Linked DNA regions of Rhinolophus ferrumequinum. The protein of the gene in region 3 interacts with the protein of the main gene of each other region in a pairwise test. Links are inferred from orthologs where the notes say so. Each region holds a gene or a part of one and is shown on either strand. Other genes may lie near its edges. The genes, in order: ODAD1, MYRIP and C9H1orf216.

What was found.
Region 1: the proteins of C9H1orf216 (region 3) and ODAD1 interact in binary tests that used the Homo sapiens proteins (3 or more experiments, as listed by UniProt). The two-hybrid records come from large-scale screens. The link is inferred for Rhinolophus ferrumequinum from reciprocal best matches to the Homo sapiens genes C1orf216 and ODAD1.
Region 2: the proteins of C9H1orf216 (region 3) and MYRIP interact in binary tests that used the Homo sapiens proteins (3 or more experiments, as listed by UniProt). The two-hybrid records come from large-scale screens. The link is inferred for Rhinolophus ferrumequinum from reciprocal best matches to the Homo sapiens genes C1orf216 and MYRIP.

The regions. Positions count from the first base shown.
Region 1 is NC_046298.1:43,909,046-43,919,816, forward strand, and holds the start of ODAD1 (outer dynein arm-docking complex subunit 1), read right to left. Parts: upstream 4,054-10,771; 5' UTR 3,319-4,053; exon of another isoform or gene 3,270-3,318; intron 3,047-3,269; exon of another isoform or gene 2,948-3,046; 5' UTR 2,891-2,947; intron 2,572-2,890; 5' UTR 2,527-2,571; coding exon 2,457-2,526; intron 1,966-2,456; exon of another isoform or gene 1,947-1,965; intron 1,571-1,946; exon of another isoform or gene 1,488-1,570; intron 1,251-1,487; coding exon 1,151-1,250; intron 993-1,150; coding exon 803-992; intron 1-802. Other genes in the region: EMP3 (epithelial membrane protein 3), read left to right, coding at 7,592-7,669, 7,911-8,013, 8,933-9,073, 9,889-10,058. UniProt on the Homo sapiens protein: Component of the outer dynein arm-docking complex (ODA-DC) that mediates outer dynein arms (ODA) binding onto the doublet microtubule. Involved in mediating assembly of both ODAs and their axonemal docking complex onto ciliary microtubules.
Region 2 is NC_046300.1:13,120,236-13,131,186, reverse strand, and holds the start of MYRIP (rab effector MyRIP), read left to right. Parts: upstream 1-6,769; 5' UTR 6,770-7,016; intron 7,017-10,951. UniProt on the Homo sapiens protein: Rab effector protein involved in melanosome transport. Serves as link between melanosome-bound RAB27A and the motor proteins MYO5A and MYO7A. May link RAB27A-containing vesicles to actin filaments. Functions as a protein kinase A-anchoring protein (AKAP).
Region 3 is NC_046292.1:24,780,580-24,790,629, forward strand, and holds C9H1orf216 (UPF0500 protein C1orf216 homolog), read right to left. Parts: upstream 4,272-10,050; 5' UTR 4,207-4,271; coding exon 4,116-4,206; intron 3,522-4,115; coding exon 2,830-3,521; 3' UTR 2,358-2,829; downstream 1-2,357.

The DNA.
Region 1 (10,771 bases), on a different chromosome or scaffold from region 3:
TGCTGATACCCTGATTTTACCCAAGTGAAACCCATTTTGGACTTCTGTCCTCCAGCACTGTAAGATAATTAATGTGTATTATCTTAAGCCATCAAGTTGGTGATAATTTGTTACAGCAACAATTGGAAACTGATACAAGTAACTTTCAAATTCCTGTTTGTGATCCCATAGTGTGCAAGAAATCACTTGCTCTAGAAAAGCAACTTTTTAAAATGAAGAATAGAAGAGAAAATAACAGAAAGAATTACACATAGAAAGAAAGTATGATTTGGTGAAGGTTTTGTTTCAGATAAACATATATGTGCACATGTGTTTATATCCATCTGCATCTATATGTGTATGAACTGCGTCACCAGTCGTGGTCATAAAAATTTGAAAGAACACTGGCATAGAAAAGTTACATTGTTTCCACGGTCACATAGCAAGATCTTGAGGCAGGGAGGATTAGACACCTGTCTAGACTCTGCTCCATTACCAACATCCTCCTTTTGCAGATTAAGGAACTAGGGCCCAGAGAGGTGAAGACGTGCCCGTGGTCACACAGCTCTGATGTGGCTGGACCAGGATTCTAACACAGGTTTCACCGACTCCAGAAAGTGAACCTTTCCCCTTAACTGCACCAGCCCCCCTTTTGAATGTGTGGGATTGTGCTCAGCACTAAACACCCACATTCTGGAGCCTGGGCACCCCAATGCCAGGCGATGCTTTCAATAACCCCATTTTTCATATGAGGAAGCTAAGTCTCAAAGCAATTACGACACTTGCCCCTAAGCAAGATCCAGAGTCTGGTCTCAGAACCCACCTGCCTGTCCAGGGTCCTGGCCTGCTCCTGCAGCTCCTTGACCTCGGCCTGCACCTGGGCCTGGCACTTCAGCAAGCGGCCCATGTTCTTCAGCCTCTCATTGTCCTGCAGCCGCTTGACCTGGCTCTGGGCGACGCTGATCTGCACCTGAAGTTTGTCCCGCACCTCCTCTAGGCGGTGGATCTCCTCACTGCCCAGGCAGGGAGGAGGAGGGGAGGCCAGCAAGGGGCAAAGGTCAGCATCACTAAAGGCCAGATACACTGGGCCTGCCCCAGCTTCAGACCCGAGTCTGACCCCCAACCCTTCAACAGCCCCCTTCCAGTTCTGAGACCCAGGCACTCGGCTCACAGTTGCTTATTGATGCGCTGGTGGACTTCCTTGCTGTAGGCCCGCCTTTCACCCTCCATCACTTTGCACTGCCGCAGCAATCTGCTCAGCTCCCAGTCCACTGAAGGACAGACCAGGCAAGGGACTCAATAGGAATCCAGGCCCAGCCCCTTCCTCCCTAGGACCTAGGTAGGAATCCTAGCTCCCTTAGGGTCTCACAAGCTGCAACTGAACTGCAGACCCAGTCCCCAACACCCCTCTAGGACTGCCTCAAACTTCCTCATCCCTTAGCAAGGTACCCCTTGCTAACCTTGAGATTTCCTCCCTAAAACCCACTCCTTCTCCGGTTTGGGCATACATCTGTTTCCCCACTAGAGGGCGCTCCTGGAGGGCCTCATGGTCCTCAAGGATCCACTGCACAGGACCTGGAACTTGGGAAAGCTGAAGACAGGGGACCAAATCAGCAGTCTTGCTCCCTCCTTCCCCCTCACCCCCAGCTGCTGAGCCATCCTCAGTCCCACCCTCCTGCTCCTCACTCTCAGGCCCTCTCCTAGGCTGAGGCTTCATCCACTCTTGCCTGGACTATCACTCCAGCCTTCTCCCCAACCTCCCAGCCTCCCCTCACAGCCCCAGGGGCTCCTTCTACACTCGGAGCGGACTCTGGCCCTTCCCGGCTCCCAGGCCTTCCCTGGCGCCCCAGCGCCCCCAGGACAGTCTCAACTCCTCAGCCTGGTGTTCAATGCCCTGTAGGACCTGACTATCCACTTCTCCAAGTCTCCACCAGCTCCCCACCTCCCACAGCCCAATGGTTCTCAACCTGGAGCTATTCTATCCCCCATGAGCATCTGGCATTGTCTGGAGGCATTTTTGGTTGTCACAATGTGGGGCAGGTAGCGGAGGTGCAGAGGGTGCTACTGGCCTGTAGTAGGTAGAGGCCAGGGATGCTGTTAGATATCCTACAAGGCACAGAACAGTCCCCATAACAAAGGATTACCTGACCCCCACGTGTCAACAGTGCGGAGATTGACAAACCCTGCTCTAGCCACGTGCTGTTCTCTCTGTTGAAACACTCTCCCCTTTCTTTACCCCTTGGTGATTCCAGGGAGGAGTTCTGGGCCCCACTCAAGCTTGTCCTGCAGTAAGTCTTGGCCCACCCATATGCCTCCCTCCACGTCCATTCCCACACTTGTGCTCCCCACTAGAAGGCTCTCCTAGAAGACCACCTTGTTCCCATGGCTCTGAAGCACAGGACCTGGAATTGGGAACCCTGACAAAAAGAATGAGATAAAGAAAAAGAATGAGTGAAATAAAAGATCGTATGAATTACCCATTCCCTCGAGGTAGGCCTCGCTGCCATTCTCGGAGCGGTTGTTCCCTGCAGAGAATCCTGAAGGCATCTTTCCCAAAGAGGGTGGGACTCCTGCAGCGGTAACACAGGACCCCTTCAGACAGCAAGCAGGAGAGGGCGGGGAGGAGGTGGGCAATGCACAGAGGGATTAGGAATTGGAAGACGACCCCAAAATCAGCTCTGGCCTCTCTCTGAGTCTCAATTCCCCCAATGGGTTGGAGGGGGGACACTTCTCTGGCCTCTCCCCACACTCCTTCCAACCTCCCACCTCTCACATTCTCTGTCTTGCATCTTGGCTCTGATTCTGGCGCGGGGGGACAGGTCCCTTAGGCTCTCGGTATCTCTGAAGGGGGCGGTTTGGGGAAGGGATCACAGAGGAAGGACCGCTGTAGGGAACGAGGCCCCTTCCCTACCTGCTGGAGTGCTTGCCCTGTCCTTGGCGCTCCTAGCTCACTGTTGTGGTCTGGTTACTGGGGAGATAAGGGGAGGGATCGAGGCCGCGAAGAGAGGCTGTGGGAGGGGAGGCTGGGGAGGAGTGGCGGAGGCGGCGGCGAGAATACCTGCTCGGATCCCCGCCCCCACCCCCACCCCCACCACCAGCCCCCCCCCCCGGCTTTAAACAGAACTGTTGGGGAGCCCTGTGAGGGGTGGGGCTGTGGCCCTATAAGGGGCGGGACTAGAAGGGCCCGCTATAATCCGGCCTTCGAGGTTTGCGAGGGAAGGGCTCGGAGATCTGTAAAGGGCGGAGCCGGAAGGGTCTGTGAGGTTTGGGGCTGGGGAAATCACCGGTACCTGTGAAGGGCGGGGCTGCGGGGACTCTCGAGGGGAGGAGCACGGATACCTGAGGAGGGCGGGGTTTCTTGGGCCAAGGAGGGGCGTGGCTGGAAGAGCGCGTGAGGAGTCCGCTGGGAGGGCGCTGGAAGGACCGTGGTTCCCAAGACTTGTGGGGGCGGGGCTAACCAGGAGGCACTCTAGCTGGAAAGGCCTGCGGGCGGTCGGGAGGGGCTGCAAGGGGAACACGGGCCTGCGAGGATCGGGCTGTGTTTCCGGGAATTGGAGGCAAGGTTGAGAGCAAAACATCTGGAAGACCGAGGTCCTTCGGGAAGGGCCGGAGAGAAGCGTATCTTAGGACCACGTTATTTTGAGGCTTCATTAGCAGGAAGGCGGTGCCGGCGCCGGGACTTGTGAGGGGGAGTAATGCTCACCACCGCCTCAGGTCCTCCCAGCACCTCACTACGCATGCGCGGCCAACGGCCTCTTAAGGCACGAAAAATCCCTTCGCTGCCCACGGAGTCCGCAGACTGAGAGGCGGAAGTGGGCGGGGCACCCGGCTCCTCGCACCGCCCCCGCCTTCCGGTCACGCCCCTGTCTGACCACACCTCCTCGCCCCTTTAGTGGTCGGCTGCTGCCCACTTGGGCCTCCCCGGAGTCGGCGGGCAGTAGGCGCTCCTCCCTGCAGGCTGGGTGTGCCCAACGCCTGTGGTTTCCTGTGGGAGGAAACCGCCCGCGAGGCGCTCCGCTAAGCTCGTAGCGTTGGAGGCCCAAGAAGGGGAGATCCCACCTCTGCTCTCGGGGCCTCTGATGCTCCGCCATCACAGGGCCCTAAATGGGAGACCCCCCTGAACATCCCCAGGGTACGAATACCAGGGCGCTAATACCACTCAGGGAACTTGATTCAGAGTCCTGCTCTCCTATTCTCCACCTACCCCGCTCAAATTTCCATCTCCCTAACCTAGACTCCTCCGCGGATCAGTTAGGGGAGGGGGGCTGGCCTCCCTTTGCCTGCACTCCCTGAAAAGCAGTGACCCTCTAGTCCCTAGTTTTTCCTTCTGTGACCCAGACTTTCTATCTTCCTTGGGGTTCTGAGTCTAGACCCCCAGCTTCTGTCCTGCTCAAAGACTTAAGTTTGTGACTACCCACATACTCCCCAAAACAGGGACTCTCATTTTGTACTCCCAACTTTTTAGTCTTGGGACCCAATGGACCGAAGAATTTGCCCCTTCCCCAAATCCTAGAGACCTTAATCTAGGGTCCCCCAGTACAGAACCCACCCAGGGCCCCAATGCCTAGTATAACTAGCACATACAGCAGTGCTTACGCTGTACGAGGCACTACTCAACTTCCCTGATGCGTTCACTATTATTATCCCTATTTTACAGATAGAGAAAATGAACCATAGAGAGATTATTAGTAACTTGCCCCAAATCAGAGTAAAGCAGCTTGGATTTGAATCCAGCCAGTGTGTCTCTAGCTTTTGTGCTATAGGTACCCCAGCTTTCTGGTCTTCGTAAGTACCCACCCAGTCACTAAACTGCCTATTCCTCACCCCCTCTGGGAATCCACATAACCAACCATTCTCCCGCCCCCAGCTCTGGGACCATCAGATACCCAGACTTGCCATGGTCCAGTTCCCTTCCTTTGCAGGGACCCAGAATTTTAGTCTGCCAGCTCTCAGATTCCATATCAGGACCCCAGACACCTGGTCCCCTGTCCCTCACTATTCACCAGCATTCAGCTCTTCCAAGAAACCCAGGTACATACTAGTCATCACCCCCCACCCTAATTCAATAACCCCCAAATTGACAATAATAATAGTTAACATTAGATCCCTGGTACTGTACTTCTGTTTAAAACCTTCCAATGGCTTCCCACTGCACTTAGAATAAATTAGTCCAAACTCCTCCCCTAGTCTTCAAGGGCCCTCTTTGATTTCCCTTCCTTCCACTCCTTCTAACTCCCTGTATTCCAGCCACACTGGCCCTTCTGTCTGCTCTCCAAACAACCTGAGTTTGTTCTCAAGAGCCTTTGCACGAGGTTCCTCTTCCCTGTCTTCAGGTCTCAGCTCAGATATCACTCCTCTGAGAGGCCTAGTCTGACTACTCCGTTTAAAGTAGGTTCCACACACACACACTCACTATCTCTGTCACTCTGTTTTGTTTCTTTCAAGGCCCTTATCGCTATCTGAAATTTGTCTTCTTCATTGATATGTTTTCTCTTTATTCTGTCTCCCTCTACTAGGTAGGTAAGCTCCACAGTAACAGTAGGGTCACATTCTGTTTTCTTTATTATTAACTCCTATTTAATAGATGTTCAATAAATGTCTGATGAAGAAAGAACTGAATGTGTTAAGTGTGTTAATGTACTGGTATTACCTTATTCATTTAGAATAAGTATCAGACTTATTATTATCAGTATTAGTATATTGTCATTATTCGTATTATTATACCCACCTCACAAATTAGGAAACTGAGGCTCAGTAAGTTGACAGAATTGGTCAAGGTTCCCAGGGCAGGAAATACTGGCGCTGGGATTCTTAACTTCCACCTCCTGCCCCCTTTAGAGTTCACACTTCCCCATTTCCCATCCACTGACACCCACCATGGTACCAATTTCACCAGTCTTCAGCCTACTCCACATGGCAGGAATCTGGCCTCCTCCCTCAGACTCTCATCCCTGAGTATCCAGTCCTAAACCCCATCAAGGAATGCAGACATCAGACCCCAGGTCCCAGGACAAGACCCAGAGCAGAGGCCTGAGACTTGGACCCTCCCACCCCGATGCTTGCCCCACCCCAGGGTACTGCTCTGCTCTGTTCCCTCCAAGGACTTCTCATCTCAACCCTGGGAGGAAAACGCAGAAACGATACGTGTCTGGGGGCAGTGGGCGGGGGCTCAAAGAATGAAGAACCCAAGTGCCTGGGCCCTCCCTCTAGCTGCAGACCTCAGCTGGGTGCGGTGAGGGTGGGTATAAAAGGGTCAGTATATATTCAGAGGAACAGAGGAAGAAAAACCAGGAAAGTGAGAAGAGTGAAAGACAGGGGAATAGGACAGGAGAGAGAGACAAGAGGTAGAAGAAAGAGAGAGGAAGGAAGGGAGAGAGGGAGGGAGGGAGAGAAAAGGGTGGAAGGGGAAGAGGGGGAGAGGGGAAGGGAGAGAGAGAGGGAGAAGGAAAGGGAGAGGGAGAAGGAGAGGGAGAAAGAGAGGGAGAGGGAGAGGGAGAGGGAGAAAGAGAGGGAGAGGGAGAAAGAGAAAGAGAGAAAGGGTTCCAGGATTGGAAGGGAGAAGGACTGAGAGGGCCAGAGAGGAGAGTGCGGGAGGGAGGAAGGCAGCGAGGGAGGCGGGGGCCTCGAGAGGGTGGAAGGAGGGAGGAGAAGGGCGGGGCACGGAGGCCCAAGCGAGGAACAGACTCCAACTCTGACTTTTTCCGCTGCTCTCGGTAAGTTTCCAGTCCGTTATCCGAACTGGGATTTCTTTATTTACTTGGGAGTGCAGCTGTTTGGGAAGGACACCCCTATGGAAATCCTTGTAATTTCAGAAGTGATCTCTTAGCACTTGGGTGGGGATTCAGGAAGGGGTGGGGCCCGGCAAAGTTTGGGGGTTCCCAACAGAGCCCTCCACCTGAAAATATCCTGTAGTTTTCCCCCACAGCTGTCCACTCTCCCTTGAGAACCCGGAGATCAGGGCTTTGCATGAGAACACCCGAAGTCTGGGGAACCTCCAGGCCCCTTCCCCTTCTGTTCACTGAAGGGTAGTAGGAGGCTGGCTCCTTCTCAGGCCTCTCTCCTCCCAACAGGCATCTCATCCATTTTTGCCACAAGGTGCCCAGCAGGCACAAGTCTGGCAGCAGGGTGGGGTGGGGATCTCGTGGGCAGCCAGGGGCTGGGGTTTCCCTGGTACTTGGAGTCAAGAGTGGGATGAGTCACCAATGACTCACCCCATCTTCCTCACCCCCCCTCACCCTAGGAGAGGGGTGGGGTGAGTCAAGGATGCCTGTCTCTGGGGACAGCCCTTAGCTTCTGATGAATCTGGAGGGGTGTCCACTTGAATTTTCAGAGCCTGATCCATATGCACCCAGGGATAGGACTCTGAGGAGATGCTAGTCCTCTGAGACATTGCTAGTCCTACTCATTCCTGGACCCAAGAGTCCATCCCTGACCCTCTCCAGCCCCTGGGGAATTCAGGAGTCCGGGCCCTCAGCCCCCTCCTCCCTCCAACCCAGGAGTCTGGACTCAGCCCCCATTCTCCAAGAGGATTCGGGCATCTCACCTGCCCCTGTGCCAACCTCTTGAAACGACCATATCCTGATGTCCCCTACCCCAGGCTTCCACTGCAGCCATGTCACTCCTCCTGCTGGTGGTCTCTGCCCTTCACATCCTCATTCTCATCCTGCTTTTCGTGGCCACTTTGGACAAGGTAAGCCCATGGAGCAGCAGCAACAGGGCCTCCGCTCTCCTGCAGACTCCCCACACGCCCCTCCTCTAAAGTCACTCCAGCCCGACCCCTTTCCCCTGCCATCTACCCCTCTCAGCTCTGCCTCTGATGCCCTGACCTCCTCCCCCTTTCCTGCTAAACCCTTTTCCTCACCCTTCCCACAGACTCCCTGACCACTCCCACTTTCCTCTCATATCCCTACCCGTTTCTCTGTCCATGCCAGTCCTGGTGGACCCTCCCAGGGAAGGAGTCCCTGAATCTCTGGTATGACTGCATGTGGACCAATGACAACAAAACGTGGACCTGCATTAATGTCAGCGAGAATGGTGAGGGGCATTGGGGACTGGTCTGCAAAGGGGAGGGGTAACCCCAAGTCTCCTCCTGGGACCAAGGATTGGGACTCTGCCAAGGTTTGAGTTGGCAGATCTGGGTCTCAATGCTGAGTGAGTAGGACTGATGTATGACCCACCTATCTTGGTGGTGGGCAGCAATATGCTCCTATTCTAAAGAGTATGAGCTAAAAGCCCTCCTCCCTTATGGTCCAGAAAGAGTGGAGGCCACATTCTATAGGCTTAAGGAATGAGGAGAAAGCTCCCAAGATTCTGAGAAGATAGGATTATGTGTCCAAAGTTCTAAGGAGATAGAACTGGTGTTCCGAATGAAAGACTGCGACCAAGTTGTCCAAGTTCCAAGGGGGTGGGGCTGGAATCACATTGAATTTCTAAAGAGATGGGGTTGAATCCTTTCAAGGTTCTAAAGGAGGGGTGAGGGTGACAGATGCATCTGAGTTCTAGAGGGGAGGAGTTGCGTCCATCGAAATGTCTGAGTGGGAGAAGGTGAAACATGAAATGCTTTTCCCCTAAGAGTGAAACAACAATTTCTGTTCTCACCACTTCTATTCCGTGTTGTACTGGAGGTAGCCAATGCAACAAGGCAAGAAAAATAAATAAATGGCATAAGGATGGAAAAGGAAGAAGTGTAAAAAAAAAAAAAAAGTCTCTATTCCCAGTGGGTTTATGTAGAAAATCCTAAAAAATCTACAAAGACACTTCTAGAACTGATAAGGGAATTTAGCAGTTACAGGTATCAAGGTCAATAAACGTGATACTAAGTATCCAAACTTGTATGGCTCTAAATGGCGGTGTGTGCAGGGGTGGGGGTGGGGGGTGCAAATGATGAATAAGCAGGTGGAGCTGGAAATCTGAACCTGCTGTGAGTTCCACCTCTATCTCCTCCTTGTTGTAGGCTGGCTGAAGGCAGTGCAAGTCCTCATGGTGCTTTCCCTTATCCTCTGCTGTCTGTCCTTCATCCTGTTCATGTTTCAACTCTACACCATGCGGCGAGGAGGACTCTTCTATGCCACTGGCCTCTGCCAACTTTGCACCAGTGAGCACTGTTCCCTGGGAATTGAAGGGAAGGGGGGGGTGCCTGTCAGGATGCCGGGGCCCCTGAGAATGGATGTCTGGTAAAAAAAAAAAAAGAAATCTCAGCAGCCTCCCATCTCCTTGGCACCTGTCTCCCTCCCAGGGACTTACGGGAGTTGTGGTTTTCAGTGACTCAAAAATGGTTTGTATGGTATATCTCTGAGTCATGGGGGAGCTGGCACTTGGGGCTTCAAGGAGCCAGGGCTGAGAAATGTGGTGTGGGCAAATAAATCCCAGGAATGGGAGGTGGGTATAGGTAGCCAATAACCCAGGTGAGAACTCTAAATCATAGTAGTAGTGGTCTTATAATGGCAGCCAACTGCTGTTTCTGGTGGACCTACTGCACTTCTGGGAGTTTTATGTATTTTTCAATTTTTTGACTTCAGGTGCAAAGGGCTAAGTTGATCATAGCCCTCAGTTTGGGGAACATTATCTTCCCAGGTTCCTGCAAAGCCCCCCTCTTGTTTTATTAACATTAGTTCACTCTTTGTGTTCGTGGCTTGTAGAAAGACACTCAAAAATGTTCCTTATGTGGGCGGATGGATGAGTAGATATTATCGTCCCATTTTTGTGGATGAGTAAAGGGGACCTGAAGATTAAATTGCCCAAAGCCAGTCTGCAGTAACCAGGTTGCACCGCGCTGTAAGCGAACCAAGACTCCCAGCAGGCAGCGCTGCTACCCACTCGCTCTCCGGCGGCTTATTGGCCCCATGGGTTGCTGGGGAATGCAGTGTTCTTGAGGCTACAACGTGACACGGGGTTCCTGTCTCCCCACAGGCCTGACGGTTTTTACCGGGGCGCTGATCTACGCCATTCACGTGGAGGACATCCTGGAGAAGCGTGCGGCCAAGGGCACCTTCGGTTACTGCTTCGCTCTAGCCTGGGTGGCCTTCCCCCTCGCCCTGGCCAGTGGTGTCATCTACATTCACCTGCGGAAGCGGGAGTGAGCGCTGCGCCTCGCTGTGCCGCTCCAGCCCGCTCCCGGACTCTCTGCCTCACCCCGCCTTCGGAAAATAAAACTGTTTAACTGCCAGCTCTGCCTTTGCCTCCTTCCTTTCTTCCTCCAGGGACCCAGACTGCTCACACCTGATCTCTCCTGAACCCGGGGCAGCCCCCAGCAGCAGCAGCTTCGCCCTCAGAATGTCCAGCTCCCTGCCCCCAGTCCCTGCTAAACCCGAAACGGGTCCCAAGCCGCCTTTCCCTTACACAGACCCGAGGCCCTAGGCCCTTCCACCGATTATCAGGATTCCCCCAGAGTGGAGACTTTCAGGCACTTCTGGAAAAGAACCGGGAGTCCTGGTTTCCAGTCCTCTCTCTCCTTGTGCGAGGGTCATCAACCAAGCAGGGTGTGCGTGTGTTGTTCTAGATTGTTGGTCTCTTTTTTTTTCATTCTGTCCCTCCCTCTGGGAAGACACCTTTCCATTTCCCTCTCAGAACCCAGTCTCCTTCCCTCATTACAGTCCAACCCCTCCTTTCCCCTCCTCCCCAAATGCTGCCTCTAGCTAGTATGACACCTTACTAAGAATCAGATGCCACCCCACTCCTCCAGGCTTACCCTGCCCCACATTAGGACACATGGGGAAGGGGAAACTGAATTTTACACTCACTCATCCTCTCGCTGTGTGCCTTTGTGCAGTGAACACAACTGCACATGGCCTCC
Region 2 (10,951 bases), on a different chromosome or scaffold from region 3:
GTAATGGCCATCAGCTGTGATTGAATGGCCATCAGCTATGGCTAGTTGGCCATCAGATGTAACCAGTGAGCCATTGGTGAGCCCCAAAATGGGGGCTAGCAAGAAGATGGTGGCTGAGCTTAGCAAGAGCGGATTGCAGCTAGCAAGTGGGGTTGGTTGGCAGAGAGAAGTGGACGGCAGGTTGCAGATAGTGTGGCTCCTGCTTCCTGTGTCTCCAAGTCAGCCACCAGGGAGACTATAGTGGTATGACTCCCCTATCTATGACTCCATGGGTGTTCCTTTTTGGCCTCACCATGTCCTGCGTTCTTATGTGGGGTGCGGGACCAGAGACCCCGCATGACACCCAGCATGACAAATACTCAGTATATACCAATAACAAAAGATGAATGAATACAAGTCACATTTGACTTCTGCAATTACAAGAGGTGCTCAAAGTGGTTACTATCAGCGCCCAGACACTTCTGATTATGGCGAACTACTGCTTGAGCAATGTTGACCAAAGTATTCACTTGTATACATTTTTTGGCACCCTGGTATACTGTAAAATAATGTTGTTTTTATCAGTCTCTCTCAGCAGCAGCAGGATTCTTTCTTGGATGCCCTAGACAGTGAATGACAATATTCTGTTATTACTTCTACATTGTCCTTCCAAGATAGAATCAACTTTCCGAAAGAAAACAGCAAAGCTTTTTAAAAGCCATTATTTAGTAGGGAATGATAGCTGTATAATAAAATATTAATTGTTCTAAAAACTACCTCAGAGAAAAATACTGTATTTACTAGAAACAATAAATTATTTTCTCTGCATTTCTATTTTTATTTAGTCTAATATCTGTTTCACCAACTCCAGATACACATATGGTCACATGTCTTGTTTTTCTAATTAACCACTGCTGAAGAGCAGAAAATCCAGGATTTCCATGTTAAAGCCTCCCACCCACCTTGAGTTGTTCAAAAACCTGAGTGTTTACTGTGTCCAGTGGGGTCCATCCTGCTTCCTTATACAGCAAGCATAGTGGATGTGTGTCACGGTCCTTTGCCTCCTGCTCTCTCTTGGTGACGCTGTTGAGGACAGGTCCTTTGTAGACTAATTTGTATAAGCTTTTGTGTGAACATAAATTTTCATTTCTCTAGGATAAATACCCAAGGTGAAATTGCTGGGTTGTATGGTAGGTCTGATTTTAGTTTTAAAAGAAGTAGCCAAACTAATTTCCAGAGTGGTTGCACCATTTTACATTCCTGCCAGCAATGCGTAAGTGACAGTTTCTCTGTCCCCTCACCAGCATTTGGTGTTGTCACTGTTTTTTATCTTACCCATTTTTATAGGTATAGTGGTATCTCATTATAGTTCTAGTTTACGTTCCTCTAATGGCTAATGATATCGAACCCATTTTCATGTGCTTATTTGCCAGCTGTATACACTCTTCAGTGAAATATCTCTTCACATCTTTTGCCCATTTTCTAATTGGACTGTTTGGGGGTTTTTACTGTTGAATGTTGAAAGTTCTTTACATATTCTAGATAGAAATCCTTTGCAGATATGTTATTTGAAAATATTTCCCCCAGTATATCGTTTGTCTTTTCATCTTAACAGGATCTTTCACATACAAATTTTTAAATTTTTAAAACAATTTTTGATGAGGTCCAATTTACCAGTTTTTCCCTTCATTCACCTACTTTTCACTCAACAAATAATTATTTATTATATGTCTAAAATTTATCAATATTCCAGACACCCACAGGAATCAAAGATGTGACATGTTCCCAACTTTAAGGAATTTCCAGTCTACTTGGGGATATTGGAGAACTACCCAAACAACTGATATTACATAACAAGTGCTAAGTGTCATGGAAGATGTAGAGATACTTTTTCTTTTCTTTTTCTTTTTTTTTTTTTAAAGAAAATCAGATATCATGTTTTGGCTGAGTGAAGGTTTTACTACTTCTATGCCAGAGAACACCACAAAATGGCATAGAAACTTCCTTTATTAACTCATTTCTTTTCCAGGTTAAAATAATAATTTTTAGATAACTAACATATTCAATCTCATTCTGTGCAAGGAAATTCCACATGGATTGTGTAAATTAGTAACGATCTTTCAGGGCAATGGAAAGGATTGCACCGTATTTTTTATTTAGGAAATCTAGGATTCAGCAAAATTAAGTAACTTGTCCAACGTCACGCACACAGAAAGTGGTAAGGTCAGACTGGCACTCCAGTATTGTGATTAATGATCTTTTAATTCTATCCAGAATCCTTCGAGACATGTCCTTTTCCTGCCAATATAAACTCATCAGTCTTCTGGCTAAGAAATGGACTGATTCATGTTTTAAAAGAATATGTGATTTTCTTGGTGTACAAAAGTCAACGAGCTCTTCTTGATTAAGGAAGAATCCATTAAAACTCTCACAGTGGTCAAGATCACGCAGAAAATGGAAAAAACAAGCTCTGCCTGTGAGTCACAAGGGGCAAAAGAAGGGACGGATATTGCTGGAATTCAGTAAAATTTCGTGGGATGACAGCTCAGGATGGAGTAACCAAGGAGGTAGCATTTTAGGTCATCTTCTTGCAGGCTCATCTTCAAACGCCGAATTTTTCATGGGGAATGATTTAAAAGAATCAATAATAGCTCTGGTGAAGAACTGAAGTTGTGTCTCTTTTAACCTAAAGGATGACAAATAGGGAACTGGAGCTCTTTCTCATTCATGATGTCTCTGGATTTCCATCTGTACTTTTCTTTCTGTATTTGACCTTGCCCAAATCATTGAACTATTCTGTGGGGACAGAGCCCCAAAAAGCAGTTTCCAGGCTCTCGGCCTCACATAGAAAGGTGCTGGCTCAGGTAGTAAATGGCCATCGACTGTGATCAAATGGCCATCAGCTGTGGCTAGTTGGCCATCAGCTGTAACCAGTGAGCCATTGGCCACGAATATAACTGCCATAGCTACACTAGAAGAAAAATGGGGGCTAGCAAGAAGATGGTGGCCAAGCCTGCAAGCGGCGCAGTGAGGGTTGAGAATTGTGTGGCTCCTGTTTCCTGTTTCTCCAACCCAGCCGCCAGCGAGAGTATAGTGGTATGACTCCCCTACTTATGGCTCCGTGGGTGTTCCTTTTTGGCCTAGCCATATCCTGCATTCTTATGTGGGGAGCGGGAGCTGAGACCCTGCAGGCCATCCCGCATGACACTTGGCGTAGTCGGCAGGATACCCCGCAAGCCGCCCTGCACTACACATGGCGCAGCGAGCAGGGTATGGTGTCGGCCAAAGCTCTCGAACGGCGGTGGAGCAGTTTGTGCCTATGAACACTCAGTTGCAGGAAGACTAGGAGGAGCAGCTGCCTGAGAGCTGGACCCCGTGGAGGGATGGGAAGACGTGGACAGTTCCCCAACCAGCAGAGGCCAGAGAAAGCGAAGGTTGTTGCGGCCCCGTGGGCTGGGAAGTGCTTGCTGAGGCAGCCCGGATGCAGGACTTGTAGTCCCAGGAGGAAACACTTGCTGAGTCTTCCATGGGAGATGAGGGTGAGGTCAAGGTCATCTCACCCCCAGGACAGCCCTGGCGAATGACTATGGACTATGGGGAATTGCCTTCCATCCCTAATTTAATTGACCACTTGACTGTTTGGGAACATACCACCATGTAATGGAACTGGCGGATATTTGCTTTTGTGTCTTGACTGGCCGCCATCGAGAATATGTAAGCACCTTGACTGTGAGACGCTGTTGTTCCAGCACGATACCCTGAGAGGCCCAGAGAGAGTGGCAGTGCCCTGAGAGCCCTGGCTGAGTCCAGGAAGTCTGGCTGTGTCCAGAGAGAGTGGCAGTGCCCTGAGAGCCCTGGCTGAGTCCAGGAAGTCTGGCTGTGCCCAGAAGTACTGGTGGCGCCCTGAGAAACCCTGGCTGTGCCCAGAAAGCCTGGCTGTGTCCAGGAAGTAGCATTCACCTCCAGGCTCCTCGCACAGGGCCCCTCGCGGAAGACGCTTGTCGCGTAGATTGTGAGGCGAAACCCTGTAGGGGTGGAGTGTGGGGACAGAGCCCCAAAAAGCAGTTTCCAGGCTCTCGGCCTCACATAGAAAGGTGCTGGCTCAGGTAGTAAATGGCCATCGACTGTGATCAAATGGCCATCAGCTGTGGCTAGTTGGCCGTCAGCTGTAACCAGTGAGCCATTGGCCACAAATAAAACTGCCGTGGCTAGGCTAGCAAGAAAAATGGGGGCTAGCAAGAAGATGGTGGCTGAGCCTGCAAGCGGCACAGTGAGGGTTGAGAATTGCGTGGCTCCTGTTTCCTGTTTCTCCAACCCAGCCGCCAGCGAGAATATAGTGGTGTGACTCCCTTACCTGTGGCTCCGTGGGTGTTCCTTTTTGGCCTCACCATATCCTGCATTCTTATGTGGGGAGCGGGAGCTGAGACCCTGCAGGCCGTCCCGCACGACATATTCTGTATGTATTTATTTGTCTTTTAAAATGTTTATAACTTAGGGATGATGTTAAGACCTTGTAAAGAGGTAGGTTTATATATTAGGTCAGTTTTGCGAACACCTGCAAGATGTCAAATAACCTTTGAACCCAGCCCCCATTCTTGTCATGATGTAGCTACTGTAGGGCCACCTGTGGAGAGTAATCCTTCCCCCTTCTACATTCAAATCTTTACTCTGCTGGCCTGAGATGCAGCTGCAGAGACAGAGGTCTTCACAATGTCTGGAAACAAACGAAGACAAGTGTTTAGAAGTGGCTTACTGTAGACCAACAGGAGGCACCTGTAGGAAAGCATGCACCGACTACCTGCCAACATTTGGGCAGGTTTATTCCCACCCCTGTGCTCATCTCACTATCCCCGTTCATCCCCAAACAATCAGAATACCCCAGGCCTGACCATCTGACTACTCAAGTCCTAGACAGCTCCGGGGTAGAGCATGAGTGAAGCAGGGAGAAAGAGTTTTCTTGGGTGGTGTAATGTGCACTCTGGGAAAGACGGGACTTGCCTCATTCTTGGATCCCGACCAATGAGAAGATGATCCTAGAGCTGCCACGTGTCACTATGTGAAGTAAGTCGATTTAACAATGAGGCCCACAGAGGAAAGCAGAGAGGGGAGGAGGAGGGAGAGAAGAGGGAAGGGGAAGGGAGAGAGGAAGAGGAAAAGATGCTGAGACTCTAGTTCTACTTCTGACATCACTTGAACCTCTGAATCCACATGTGCCTGAAGTTGCAACTACCATTTATTTCATATAACAAAAGGTAAAAAACGGAACCTTAGACAGATACATTTGGTTGTGCATATGTCGATTTTCTCTAGGAGGGTACACAAGCACATGAGAGCAATGGTTGTCTCCAGGGAGAGGAATTGAGCGTCTTGTTAACTATCTACCCATTTGCACTGTCTGAATTTCATACCACGCCAATGTTACTCAAGCATAGATAAATACAATTAAAATTGAAGGTAAATAACATAGAACCAAAACACAGACTTTCTTCCACTTTAACCAGTTTTGTGGATTATAAAATCCCTTTAAGAGAGGAAAACAGATCTTTAGAGAAATCAACTCCTTTACCTTCCAAGTTTCCTTCTTAAAGTCCCCCCGCCCCCACCCCACTCTCCCGCGGACAGATCAGCAAACCAGCGAGCCATCCATTTCTACTGCGTAAATTTACACGGAGAGAGCAGCTCAATCCACCGTCCTGAGAAAGGATTCCCAGGGTTTTAGGAATCACCAATGTAGCTCCACAAACGCTGTATTCTGATGGAGTGACTTCCACCCTGCAGCTAAAATTGACAGTGTGTTTTCACAGCAGAGTTGTTCGTGCTGAGGCAGTCTGTTTTAGGAAGATTCCAGGCCTTGTACATTATGGATGCAAACTCACGCTGAAGCCCTGGCCTGGAGGGGAACCTTTCAACTCCTATTTGCTTTTTCAGGACCTGGAGCACCTGGCAGGTGCCCGAATGCGTTCCTCACCTGCAGTAATCTTCCTGCGTCCTTCTGCCAGCGCGGGCTCACTAAACCGGCGGTGTGGAAGCCAAGGGGTTTGGGAGATTTGGGCGCGCAGTGGCCTGGGACAGCTCTTCGAGCCTAACGCGAATCCAGTCCACGCGTGTTGAACGAATGAGAGTCGCTAGCTCAGTAAATTCATGAGACTAAAGGGAATCTAGACCAGGGGGTGGGTCAGCACGGTGACTTTAAATACCCAGGGACTGACTGTGAAGTGGAGAGCTGTCTTTGGAGAAGCTCCACGCCGGCTCTTCGTGAGGCTCCAGACTCCCGCCCGCGAGCCAGGCCGACCCGGGATCCCGCGACCCAACACTCCGCGGTCAGGGAGGGGCCGGGCCCCCGAGGTTTAGGGGCGAGCGACCGGAAAAGCCTGACTTCAAAGCTGAGAACGACCTGAGGTCTCACCTGGGGGCTCCTGGGCCGCGGCCCCGACACCGCACTGCCGGGCTAAGGGGCGCCCAGGAGAGGGCGCGGGACCCCGCCCCGGGCGCGCGCAGCCCCAGCCCCGCCTCCTCCCGAGGCGCCCGCCCTCCCCGCGCGTGCGGCCCGCGCGCCGGGGGAGCTCGGGAGAAAGCCGCGGGCAGGTGCCCCCGGCCCAGCGCAGGCGCGATCGCGCGCAGTCCCTCCAGCCGGGCACCCCGCACGCGCCCCCGCCCCGCCTCCGCACGCGCCCCGGCCCCGGGCGCCTCTGATTGGCGGCCGGCCGGGCCAGCGTGTCGGCGGCGGCTGCGGCCGGGCTGGCCCTGGCTGCCTGCGGCGCGGGCGCCTCCCTCTCAGCCGCGGCCGCCGCGGCGCTCCCGCCTCCTGCCGGCTCCCGGGCTCCCGCTGCGGCTGCGGTTCGGGCGGCCGAGCCCCGCGGCGTTGCGGCTCAGATCTGGCGCGCCGCACGACCCGCGCCCCTGCCTCGCAGCTCGCCGCCTCCTGATCCACGCGCCGCGCTGCGGCAGGTGCCCCGGGCGTCCTGAGACGCGGTGGCCTGAGCCCGGCCGTCATCGATGACCCGGGTCACGGACCTGCTCCAGCCTGGTCACCCCGTGTGAGTACCGTCCCCTCCCCTCAGAAGGCTTTCCGCCACCGTCCCTCTTACGTTGCAGCAACTTTGGGGGTAGGTGTGTGGAGGTGTCTCTCACGTCCCCCCACACCCCGTGCGCGTCCTGAGCCAGGGTCGGGGGCTTGGCCAGTCCGCGGCTGCGGAGGGGCACGGGGGTGGGGGCGTTGAACTTGCGTCGTCGCAGAGTGGGAACCGTGCCTTCCTCCGGCTGCCGGGGCCGAAGCTTGCCTCTGTGTGTCCCTCGCGGTTTTCGATCCCCACTAGCCACGTAGCTCTTGGGTTGCTGTTCACCGCGCACCTACTAAGCTACGGGCGCACCTGCCGGGCGCCTTAAATCATCCGGTAAGCGCCCGGAAGCAGCCCAACGCGGTGGACTTGACTCTTTCGGACTCTTAATTTCTGTAAAATGGGGCTAATCAGGGACTCGCTCAAGGTCACAGCTGGTGCACGGAGTAAGAATCCGAGTCGATTGCGTCTGGCCGGTCCCCGGACTGCCTGGAGAGGGACGCGCTGTTGCGGGGAAGGAGGGGGTTGGTCACTTCAGCTTCATCCCGGTCTCTTCCTCATACTCCCTTCCCCCAAACTCCGCCTTATTTGGAGAGGTCGGGATCCGATCCCAAAGGACCTCGCGGGGGACCTTCGGAGCGAGCGCGGAGAGGAGCAAGTCCACGGTGGGAAGCCCTGGACCTGAGACATTTGCAGTATCCCCTCCATTCCCCGTCACTTAATTTGCTAACGTCTGGGCAGAGTCAGGGGAATTTGCTAGGTGCCTGCTCCGTCTCCTTCTCCCAAATAAGTCCTGTCCCCGAGGATAAATATCCGAGACTCTACCTGCACATACCAGTTTGGGCTCAGGGACTTCCTGAGACGCGGGTTCGTTCTGAGGTTGGCTTCCCCAACACTGGCTCCCATCAGCTCTTAAAACAATGCCTCTGGCTTCATTTCTGCTCGCCCCTCCTCCCTACCCCTGGATCTGGATTTGTTAAACCCTTTCCTTGGGGAGGGTGGAGTCCCGTCCCAGAATGTGTAAATGTTGGCAGACGTGAATCTTTTACTCCAGATCCTTTGAGGCAGCTCCTGTGGGGCTGTGCGCGGTTGGAAGAACTTTGGACGGGGGAGAGAATGTTCCCTCCCCTTTTGACATATCACCCTGTCCCTCCAACTCAGCCTCCCTTGCCCCAACTAGGCGATGACTACTTAGATAGGTTTGTGATGTTTGACAAACATCTTTGAGCCTCGACGTTTTTTGTTTAATGTATACAATGGAATAATCCCTGCCTTTTAGTCTTCCCAAGGCAATTATGGTTCAGGGGACATGTCAGATGTGCAAGTCGAAGGAAGATGGTCCAGAAGGAACTGAGCTGTTGGTAGAAATGGAGGTGATTCAAAGAATTTTTTTACAGCAGCCTCGAGGACCCTATTCACAAATCTAAAAATCCTTCTTTCCAGAGAAATTTATTTTGGTAAAACTTTGAAGAGACTACTCTCCATCTCCCTGTTGATGTTGCTTGCCTGGTCATGGTGATTGAAACTGACAGTGGTGTAGACTGAATCCTGTTTCCTGTCTCCCTGCCAAGAGGCACAGAAGGAGAGTTCATCTGTGGCCTTAACCTTCAGAGCAGCTCACTCACATGAACTGAAATACTCCATTGAGAACCGAGCATCTCCCTGCTTTTGCCTTTCTGGTTATTACCGTGTTGGCAGACTTTTGTCTCAAAGGCAAGTTAAGGAGGGACAACTGACCAGACCTTGGTGAATTTGTTTTAATATCATATTGAAGTATGACATAATCACAGCAAATGGCATAGATCTGAAGTGCATTCTCAATGGACTTTCACAAACTGAACACACCTGCGGACCCCGTGCCCAGGTGAAGACCTATCATACCCCCCCAATCTCCCCATGACACCTACAGGCACCTTCCCTCAAGGGTAACCATCATCCCGCTTAGTTTTGTCAGGTGAGTTTTAGTTTTATTATTATGATTTATTTTATCATTTTAATTTCAAAGTGAAAATGAAACTGCTAGATGATTTTCTACCTCTTTTTTATATGTATGTAAAGCAAAGGTAGTTATACCTAAGCCAGTCCAGAAAGTTAGAAGGAAGAATTTGGTCTTAAGATCTGGTTGGAGTCTGAACTGGTTGTACCATTGTCCGCCCCCCCCCCCCCCCCCCCCGCCACCACACACACACACCCTGATCATTGGTTCTTGTTCTTGGGTGATGTGACCTGCTGGACCCTAGATGTAACAGTGCTGACAGGGATAAATAGAGGCTGGTTTACTCGTAGAGTGTATTTGAATAATACAAATCTGAAATAGTGTGGTAATAAAATATAAATGAAGAAAAGATATGAATGAATTCTTATTTGAAACATAAAAATGGAAATATTTTGAATTTCTCAAGGTGAAAAATTTGGTGGATAATCGCAGAATTTCAAGGCTGAGTGACTTGTGAGCTGTTCGGGCTGTTGCCACATGGTGGCGCCACATTAGCGGGACAACTGAAATACCCACCATTCTTTCCCAAGCCCTCCGGAAGGAATCCTAGGAATAAAATCCTAGGAATAAAAATCCAACAGTTCGGGAATCTCCAAAAGTGATGTCTGCACACGGTGGTTTTTGCAGTGTCTGGCAGGCAAGCCTCCCTCTGCTGCCTGCCAAGTCCGTGGCTAGAACACTATCCCAGCTTTTTGTGGGTTGGGGCAGGTGGAACTGAGACACTGTTGCTTTCTCTTTAATAACGTGGAGCTGTGGTATGTCCTTGGAATTTTAAAGAGGATCAGTTGAGAAGCTAGCTTAAGTGTGTTATGGTTCTATTGGTCTCATTTCACCCCAGAATCCCCCAGAGGTCTGAGAGAAGGAGTTCTCTTTCCCGGGGCAGGTAGCTTTTTCCACAGAGCACTGTCCATGGTGAACTTAGAATACTAAACAGGCCTGGGTGTAGCCCAACTGCTGCTGGCAGAAGGGCCCCATGCCTTCCACAGCGTGGGGACCAGGTCACCAGGAGAGCCCTCAGGAAGTGGGCATGCTGTATCCAGCTGAGACAGCTGAGCAGACCCAGTCAGTGCCCTTCAGCACCTTTTCCTCTGTCAGTGTGACTGAATGTTGTTTAGGTGATTGGATTTGTGTGATGGCTGCGAGCCTCTGATTGCTACGAGTGTTAAGTATTTGCCATGTGCTGGACACTAAATATATATATATATATATATATATATATATATATATATATATATATATATTCATTTAATCTTCACTATAAGAGGAGGATGGCTTTCCTATTTTATAGATGAAGGAACTGGGCCTTGAAAATTAACCACTCTTTCTGAGTGTACGCAATATGTGAGCCAGAGTGAGGTTTGAGAGCCAAGTCTCTCAGACAGCTTCCCAGCTGAATTGTACCCTTCTGCAGGGTTAGAGAAGTCTTGCGTAGTTCTTTTGTCTTCCCTGACACCTAGCATAGCACTCTACATATAGTAGCTACTTACGTCTAAGAATGGGGATTGCCATACATAGAAAATTGTGGGCTGAGCAGAAAGGAAGTTCAGACACGGAGGGATGAGAATTTGGGGTTGAGTCCATGCAACGTGTAACACTGGGACTGAGTGTGTGCCCATCGTGTGTAGCCTTCTTTTGTGTTGAAAATTTTATGGAAATGAAGGCCTGTCATTTATTTTTGTGATTTGCTTTTTTCACCTAATACTGCTTTTTGATATGTGTTGATAACATATGTTGATAATTATAGATGTACTATTTCTTTGATATACCAGAGTTCAAATATTCCCCATCGATGGACCGAAAAAATGGTTTTACCATTTGCTATTATAAATAGTACTGCAGGGAATATCCTTGGTAAGATCTTGTAGAAATAGACAAGAGTGTGTCTAGGGTGTATACCCCCTGAAGTTTCATATCTGGA
Region 3 (10,050 bases):
AAAAAGGTGAAGGGGTTAAGAAGTACAAATTAGTAGTTACAGAATAGTCATGGGGATGTAAAGTAAAACATAGGGAATATAGTCAATAATATGTTAATTAACTGTATAGTGCCAGGTGAGTACTAGACTAGTCAGGGGGATCACTTCTTAAATTATACAGATGTCTAACCACTATGCTGTACAACTGAAGTTAATACATAACAATACTGAATGTTACATGTCATTGAAAAATTTAAAAAGGGAGTGGAAGGTGAAGAGGAATGGGGTTCCAATTTCCAGGTAAAAAACAAGTAAGTCATGGGGATGTAACGTACAGCATGGGGAATATAGTCAATAATATTGTGATAGCATAATGTGGTATCAGATGGTCGCTGGATTTATGGTGATCACTTCTTTAGGTATATAAATGTTGAATAACTATGGTGTACCCCTGAAACTGATATAATGTTGTATGTTAGCTATGTTTTTTAACAAAAACCTTTAAAAAAAAGAAATGCATTTTTCTGTTCCAGTTTATTTATCTTGGTTTACACTCAACATGCAAGAGTTAGACACAAAGTCCCCAGGGTCATTGCTTCAGCCTCATCCCCTGTTTGTTTCACCCACCCCCCCATCAGGAATGGAACTCTTTAGAGATCATCAGAAAGAGCCCCCACATTTTGCAGATAGGAAGACTAAGGGACAGAGGCAGTGTTGTTGACATCCATGCCACGGCTCACCCATCAGGATTTTGTATCCTCTTGGCTCTCAGAAGCAAAACACATTGCTTGGCTACCTTTGTCCTTGGCTCTCCCCAGAACTCACCCACTTTCCATCTCACGGAGCTTCTGCTGGAACCTGTCAACCCCATTCAAAGGGCCATACAGTGATGGACGAGGGTATGACCCAGCATCCTAAGAGCTTCCAGAGGCTGGGCTGACACTGCTCCTGCCCACCCTTGAAAGCTGAACTGTGCCTCCTCCTGGCCCAGACAGACTAATTTCAGGGAAACGGACCAAACTCATTCAACATCCAGTGTTGTTAAAGCCAGGGAGGCATACGAAGTAGAGGCAGAGAGACGGAAGTGAGATTATTCCCAACACCCTGGGATCACCTTGTCCATTCCTTGCAAGATTATAAGCACACATTTCTTTTCATCAGAAGCTTATGTCAGTATGGTCGGCAAAAGCTCCTCTGCAGTGGAGAGGTGTGGTTTATTTGGAACTGGTATTTTAGAATTCCCATTCTCCTATTCTTCACAGGGTTCTGCCATCATCATCTCCCCCATCCCCATCTCCCATGTACCCAAAGGCAGAGTTCAAGAAGGACAGTCCCCTATCTTCTTCTCTGATCCTGCCCCCCTTTCCTACCATGGTGTCGATCACCATCCCCAGCTCCCCTCCCTGAAATTAATTCTCTACCAATTGCCCTGGCAAAATTGCAGCCAAAAAGCCATGGCAGGCTAAAGCAGCGACCACCTACAGCAAATCCATCATCAGGGACAGCAGCCTTAGCAAAGCAAGGTCTGGGAGGAGTGAGGAGAGGGAGGAGAGGTGGCCTGGGAAATCCCAAGAGAATGGATCAGCCATAAGCTGCAGATAAATGACAGCAGGATGCCCTCTTTCCAGGAAGCAGTGCGACCCTGTGGAGAAAAAAGGCTATGGCAGGCCATGGGTAACATAGGGTATGGATGCATGCTCCACATGTGCACCTGAATATATACTTGCACACTCTTGCTCACAAGTCTACCTGCAAATACACATTCCTAATCTACACTTCCCATGCCTGCACCTACACACATGTATCCCTACCCATAGGCCTGCACACACAAGGGTTCCCTCACATACACCCACCACAAGCCTGCACACTCAAGCTCGCTCATAGGCACACACATCTTTTGCATATACAGTTGGCCCTTGAACAACACAGGGTTTAGTGCTGCTGACCCCTGACACAGTCAAAAATCCGTGTATAACTTTTGACTCCCCTCAAATTTAACTACTAAATAGCCTATTGACCGGAAGCCTTACTGATAACACAAAGTCGATTAACACACATTTTGTATGTTATATGCACCATATACTTACTATTTTCCTTACTGTGTTTCCCCAAAAATAAGACTTAACCAGACCATCAGCTCTAATGCGTCTTTTGAAGCAAAAATTAATATAAGACCCGGTATTATATTATATTAATTATATTATAATATTATATTATATTATTATATTATAAAGATCCGGTCTTATATTATAGTAAAATAAGATCAGGTCTTATATTGATTTTTGCTCCAAAAGATGCATTAGAGCTGATTGTCTGGCTAGGTCTTAGCATTTTCGGGGAAACACAGTACTATTAAGTAAGCTAGAGAAGAAAAAATGCTATTCAGAAAATCATAAGAGAAAATACACTTACAGAGCTATACATATTTATTGGAAAAAATCCACATATACTCATAAGCGGGACTATGCAGTTCAAACCTGTGTTATTCAAGGGTCAATTGTACATCCTCACTCATGCATACTTGTATACACACACTTCTGGGTGCCTGTCCACACTTGTCTATGCATATACAAGTTTACTCCCTCTTATATACATGCTACACATACACAGATGGACACACTCCTACATAGGCCTGCACATTAAGTTAGCTCGTGTGTACACACCGCACATGCAAGCTGGTGCCCAGGTGCGGATTCATACATGCCTGCACATATCCACTACATGTTAGCACATACTACTCACTTATCCTTAGCTGCACTCATACCAGCTAATAATTATGTACTTGCGCACAACCACATTCATGCCTGCAAGTATTTACAGATACCCCTTGCACCCCGTGGAGGAACGCTCTTAGCCCTGGTCCTGGGGTCTGGATGGTGCTGCCCTCTGTTGGAGACAGCGGATAAGCTCCTTCCGGTTATCTAGGATGGTATCGAAGCTCTCCTGCAGGCGGGCCTGCTGGTCAATCAACTGGTGCTGCAGACCTCGGATCCACTGGAGCAGAGCCAGGCGACGGTACATCACCAAGTGCATGTGGTGCTTCTCCTTCTCCTGCTCTTTGTAGCGTTCTTGAGCCTGCAGCTTCTGCATAGCCTGGGCCACCGAGGGCAGAAAGGGATCTGAAGGGCCAGGGCCTGGAGGGGTCCCACAGGCAGGCTCAGGGCTGCTGCTGGGGCTGTCAATGCTCAGGGAGCTGCTGGCATAGCCATTGTCCTCCAGAGGGGAGCTGACTGTGCCAGCACCACCCATCTTCTCAGGCTCAGCTCTGGGGATCTCTGCCCCTTCTGGTGGGCTTCGGACCTCCCCCTCAGGAAGTCCAGGGGCCTGGAAGGACTGGTTATCAGAGGGCAACGCGGATTTCTTCATCAGAATGGGCTCCACTTGGCCTGGCATCCCACTCCAATTCTCATTGGCATCCTTGGCACTTGCCATGAAGTTGGAGTTGCTATCTGGTTGGAACTCAGGCTGACATACTCCAGAAGGTGGGCCCCCCAGGAACTGGCCCCCCTCAGCCACCCCTGGCTGGAAGGCGAACATTTGGTCTGTAGAGGGGAAGCAGAAGAATGAGTCAGAGCAGGACAGGGTGGGATACCTGAGTCCAGGCAACCTAGCTGCTGGGACAAGGCAGCAAGCGGGAGCCTGGCTGCTCCTTCTCAGTTCCTTTCTCTGGTCTCTGCTAACATCTCCCTTCGTGGTTTTCCTCCTCCCTCTCTGACTGTTACTTCTCGGTCTCCTGCAGAGGGTTTTCCCTCAGCCCTCGAGGCATGTTGTCTTCTCATTCTATGTACTTCTCCCCCAGGTGACCTCATCCTCTGCTGTAGCTTCAACAACCATCATGTGCTGTTGACTCTCAGATCTGTCTCCAGCCCAGATCCAACTGATACCCAACTCTGTAACCAACCACTCCTCAAATTCTACACGTCCAAACCAGCTCACCATCTTCAGTGTCCTTAGCAAAATGACCTCACTGTGCATTCAGTCACTCCAACCAGAAACTTAAAAGCATCCTGGACTCACTCTGCTTTCTTCTGCCATCTCATTGGCCACCAAACACTGACAATTCTTCCTCTTAAAAACCTCTGTGTTTATGTACATACATCTCCCCTCACTTTCACTTGGTTCAGGCCATTTCTTACCTGGATTACTGAATGCCACAGCCTTTTCACTGATCTTTCTGCCTGCAGTTAAAAATGAAAATTTGAGGGGCCAGCCCGGTGGCTGAGGCATTTGGAGCTCCGTGCTCCTAACGCCGAAGGCTGCTGGTTCGATTCCCACATGGGCCAGTGGGCTCTCAACCACAAGGTTGCCAGTTTGATTCCTCGACTCCCACAAGGGATGGTGTGCTCCGCCCCCTGCAACTAAGATTGAACACAGCACCTTGAGCTGAGCTGCCGCTGAGCTCCAGGATGGTTCAGTCGGTTGGAGCGCGTCCTCTCAACCACAAGGTTGCTGGTTGGACTCCCGCAAAGAATGGTGGGCTGCGCCCCCTGCAGCTAATAACAACCTGCAAGGGATGGTGGGCTGTGCCCCCTGAAGCTAACAATGGCAACTGGACCTGGAGCTGAGCTGCGCCCTCCACAACTAAGATTGAAAGGACAACAACTTGACTTGGAAAAAGACCTGGAAGTACACACTGTTCCCCAATAAAGTCCTGTTCCCCTTCCCCAATAAAATCTTTAAAAAAAAAAAAAAAAGAAAGAAAGAAAGAAAGAAAAAAAGCTTTATTACAAAAAAATGAAAATTTGATTGGTCACAGCTCCCACTGCCTTCCCTAAACTTCTGCTAAATCTCTCCACGGCCTGCCTGGCTGTTCTTCATCCGGCCCCTGCTCACCCTTCCAGACTTGCCTCTAGATGCTCTGCCCCTCCCACCGCACAAATTGCTCAGAGGTCTCAGAATGCACCGTCATTCTCCTCACATGGGTCCTTTAGCCTGCCATACCTTTCCTCTCCCCAGCTCTCTAAGATCCTCCCTTCTCCACCCAGCAAATTCCTTTTTGTACTTCAAAACTCAGCTCTCATATCCCCCGTCTCTGAAGCCATCCTGAAATTCTCCTCACTGCCCCAATATACATAAACACTGCCTCCCTTTGGGTCCCCACAGCCTTGGGTACACGCTGTCTTATTCATGTTTTTTTCTCGTCCCTGGCACATAGTTATGGTCAGTAAATGTCTATTCATTTTTTTTTTAAGTCTCTTGTAAAAGCAGTTCATAAACCTGGCTGCCTGACTAGACGTGGAACTCCTCTATTTCCCACCGTATTTCTAGGAGACAGCATGGAACTTGGCATTAAGCTAGTGTCAGTCCACACTTGCTGGGTGAGTAAATGGGGGTGAGAGAGCGGGATATCTATACTCATGGATGGGGGCCAACAGTAGGAGCAGGCCGCTACTGCTGATTGCCCAGGGCTAGAAGAGCTAGGTTCAGTTCCCTCTTCTGCCCAAGGAGGACGCCCACTCACCCACCCACACACGCACAGACAAGCCTCTCTTGGACCTTGTCCCCTTCCCTCCATGCCTACCATCTTGTGTCCCTCCAGCTTGCTCCATCCTGAGGCCCTGGAGGGAGGGCATACTATGCTCTTCTTTCCTCCCCAACAACCAGCTTTACCAAAATTAGTATTTGAATTGACACGAGGTTTCTGCTGACCATCTACTACTAGGATTAGAAAAATGTGGGATCAGTAAGAGTGAGAGGATAGTGGAAGTGGCAGGGACCCTTCCCACATCCAGTAGTGGGCAGAAGTCCTGGGGGAATGATGTAGGGACCGTCCCTTCATAACCTACCAACACCCTCCTTGCTAAACAAGGTGCCAGTAGATCTTCTCCGCCCAAATGTTTTCTTTTTCCTAAACTTGGGCGGGGCCACGAAGGAGGCTGGGATGCAGTGAGGGTGGTGCTACGAATAGCGGGGTTCTCAGAGAGGGTAAAATGGAAACCCAGACACCCGGGGTCAGGCTTCTCTCCGAGCTAATCCGCAGTCTGCCGGGGTTGAGGGGTGGGTGGGTATGGGGAAGGGTGATTCTGTAAAAACAGGGGGAAGCGGCCTCCCTTCCTGCCTAGCCTAGTGGAAGAGGAAGACTACCCCCGCAGACAAAAGATAGAGACCATCCTTTCCTAATCTCTCCGTTCGGGGCAGCTGGGCCGAGGCTGCGGTTTCCCTCCTCGTCCCCGAACCTCAGTGTCTGGACTCACCGCCTGGAGGCGTCTGCCCAGCGCGGCTGGCTCTGGTTCCGCGGGACCCGCGACGGGAACTCGTCCCTCGGGGCTGAGGGGTCCCTCGGCCTGGGCGTCACGCGGGACCCGGGCGTGGGGTGCGGGGTTCCGGAGCGGTGCACCCAGCCCCAGTTGCGGACTGCGGAGCCAGCCGGGCGGCGTCAGCGCTCTGGGCGGGGCCGCCCGGCCCACGTGGGCCGGTTCGGTTTCCCGCGGAGCCGCGCGCGGAGGCCGGAGCGCGGGAGCCGCCTCCCCTCCTTCGCCTTCCGCAGCCTTGACCGAGGCCTTGCAGGTACAGTTTTATTTCCTAACTGCCTTCACTGGGCCTCTCCGATCGGCTTGCCTCACTGTGGATACACTGACATTTTCAAAATGAAAATCTGATCATGTCACCACCCTCCTGCCAAAAACCTGTTGCAAGGCAGATCCTTAAGGCAGCAGCCCCAGAGGTCTGATCATCCTGCCCCGTCTGCCTCTCCGGCTTCAGCCTTTGCGCTCCATCTCTGCAACCCGGCTTGACGCTTCTTTCTGCCTGCCAGGCGGCTTTTACAAACACTGTTCCCTCTGCCTAACATTCTCTCCCCGCTCTCATATTTCAGATCTCTTCTCAGATCAACCTTCTCTGACCCCCTTTTATATTATCCCTGGGCATTTTGTTCCTTTTCTTCATAGTCTCTGTCACAATTGGAAATTCTGTATTCATGTTATGCTTAGTTATTAAAGCCACTTATGAAAGCTACGTTTTTAAGAGAGGAAAGAAAATCTACTCTGGGTCAGGCATGGGGCTACTGTCTTGCACCCAGGCCCTGGTGGCTTCCCACAGGGCGATGAGTGCCTCTCTGGTGCCAGTGCAGTGAGCTTTTCTCAGTTTCCACTTACTGAAGCCTGATCCCCTCACTTTCTTCCTCCTTGGGGGAACTGAGGGTTTGGGGGCCCAGTTTGCAAGCAAAGCAAACAGTAATTGCTGACTTTAATGATCAACACCAAAAAGCAATGGCTGGTGTTTGGGAACCTAAGACTTCTTAAATTAAGTTCTTAACTTAGGCAACCTCAGAAAGAAGACTGGGACAAATTTAGCTTTCAAGGCACGGTGAGCTTCCAGAAGGTCCCTTCCACATCCCCATTTTACTGAGCAAACTACACAATTGGCTACACCTTCCTCACCTACCCCATTTCAAAATTAAACTAAACTAATATGGAGTCATCTTTGAACCATAATACATTTAAAATACCTTGTCTTTCCCTCATCCCTCTCTTTTGCTGCTTTTTTGTTTTGTTTTTGTTTGTTTGTTTCAATGAGGAAGAATTCAACTCTGTGATCTCCATGATAGGGCATCCTCTTCCAGTTTCAACTTGATTCCAACTCACCATTCTGCAACTTAGAGACTAAATGGCACATTAAATCACACCAATAAATCCTATGTACAAAAATAAGGAGAGTGGAAGAAGAAAAAAACTTTTTGTTTTATGATTATGACAACTCTTATTTTAAGAGAGAAAAGGAAATAAAAAAGGGAGAAAGCAAAAGTATCTCAAACTTTGGACACTCCCCCAGCTACAAATATACAGGTGGAGCCCTCAGCCCTATTTCTACATCAGGTTCCAAGACCTAACTAGTCTTCCCTTTTCCTTTAACCACTGCAAGTTCCCCTTGCCTTCAGCCGGAGTTTGCTTCCTTCTGAGGTGATCCAAACCCTCAATCCTAAAGGCTCTGAGCTTCAGTGGTCTGGAGTTATGCAAATCTTCCCATGCCACACAGCCATAATGTCATCTGATTGTTTGGTGGGCCCAGAACAGCTCCACCCCACCTCTCCTTTGGCTCTGTCTCTCCCAGCTCTAACCACGTGGGTTAAATGGGAGCCTGGTGAGTCCAGGGATAGAACTCCCCACTCCGGGTGAGTCAGTCAGAGCCCTTCTCTGGGACTTTCTGAAATAAAATTAAAGGAAGACAAAGCAGGGAAGATGTAAGCTGTAACATTCACATTCTCTGGCACATAGAAGTCAGTTTTTAGTAGGAGAAAATGATGTTGACACATAGAAGTAGAGACGAAAGACAGAAGTCCTCATGAGGTTCCAGTCCCTGTTTCCTGAGGCCTTTGTATACCTTCCAATAAGGCCCTCATTTTACCAATCCTAACTTGAGTGGAATTTCTTTCACTAGCAATCTAAAGAATGCTGATTAATAGAACACCCTTGGGTCTCACTCATGCATGAACCTCTCAGCCCTCATTAAGTAGTAGCAACTCTATTTCCCCTTGATAGCCTTTATCAGATCAGCCTACACTGTAACCTCCTTTCTTCTGTTCCTCTGATATTATGAGGAGCTTGCAATGCTGTGGAATCATCTTTGTGTTCCCTGGTTAGAAACATTCCTCCCTAGCTGCTAAAACCTCCTGGCCGGCAGAACCAGGATATCAGAGGCAGGAAGTAAACTCTTGGAGAAAGTCATTAGGTACAATCATGGAAGGTATCACACCCATCTCTACCTCTTTATATGTGTTCTGGCTACAAAAGACCAACAATTGTATACTGATTGTTGATTTAATACCTATATTGTACTCGGCATAGCAGAACCCAACCTGGCATAGCCAAGTCATCAATTGTTCATTCCATTTTTCTATAAAGCTAGTTGTTCTAAATAACATAATACCTGATAAGTCCAGTGAATTCCAAGGGCATCAGACTGTAGCCTCTCTTTTCTTAGTGAAGGGAAATATTGTATGGGATACTCTAGCACTGTATAATTAATGCAGTAAGTGCTCAGACAGTGGGCCTGGCCACTCCATAATTTTCAAAGAGCTGGGAGCCTGGAGAATAAAAAACCCCCGGAAGGCAGAGGCGTTCGTGTCTACATGACCACAGAAAAGCCGATGTATAGATGTCTGTTATTCATTCACCAGAAGCGTCCTCAGTCAGGATACCAGGGAATCTGTCACCCTCAGTGAAGCGGTATCTGTGACTATGTCCACCCAACTACTTAGATTGCAGAGACTTAATTGGCAGACACACCGAAATCACCAGAAATGGCCAGTACCAGCCTGAACAGGGATGTGCAGCGGGCCAGCCCATCACAAGGATCCAGCAGTGAGAGCTATCTTGGCAAGCAGACAGAAATCAGAGCCAAGAGAGGCGAGCAGCGAGTAGCCAGGTCCTGGCCCTGGGGGCCTGGGGTGTCAGGTAAGGAAACAAGGGAAGATGAAAAGAATTTCTACTCCAGGAACTAGGACAGGCATGAGTTCCTCTCTAAGCAGACAATTTTTGAATGTTAGTCCTCCCCGGAAGAAAGGGATGGGTAGGCTCAAGGTGATATCTGGAAGGCAAAAGTCATGAGTACATAAGAGGGTGAGGAAAGGCTTCACAGAGGTGATATCTGAGCCAAGCTTTAAAAGATGACTAGAAGCTCACAGAGAGAAAGCAGGAGAAGGCAGAGGAGATTGTACGTGGCGTGTGTGTTTAGAGTGTTTTCAGACAAGACAGAGGCCAGTGTGACTGGATCTTGTGGGGAAATGGAGGTAGGAGATGAGGCTGGAGGATAAAGTGGGCCAAGTGGTGAAAGGTCTGACTACCATTCCCAGGAGCTGGGCTTCTTCCTGGGGGCAGCAGGGAAATAACTGAGGAAGCCCCCAAAAGTTTCACATCAGAACAAAGCACAGGCTTCTAGTCCTGGAGTACAAACTACATTGCTTGCTACCTGCTTTCTTCTCTTTTCCTGAGCTATCATCTGCCAACCTCCTCACATAGCTTAGGGAACTTAGACAAATCAATCATTTTAACCTTTTTAGGTTACATAAAGATAGTACGCCTTGAACACTGTTAAAAAAACATTATAATGTGAATATTGTTACTTGGACTCCCA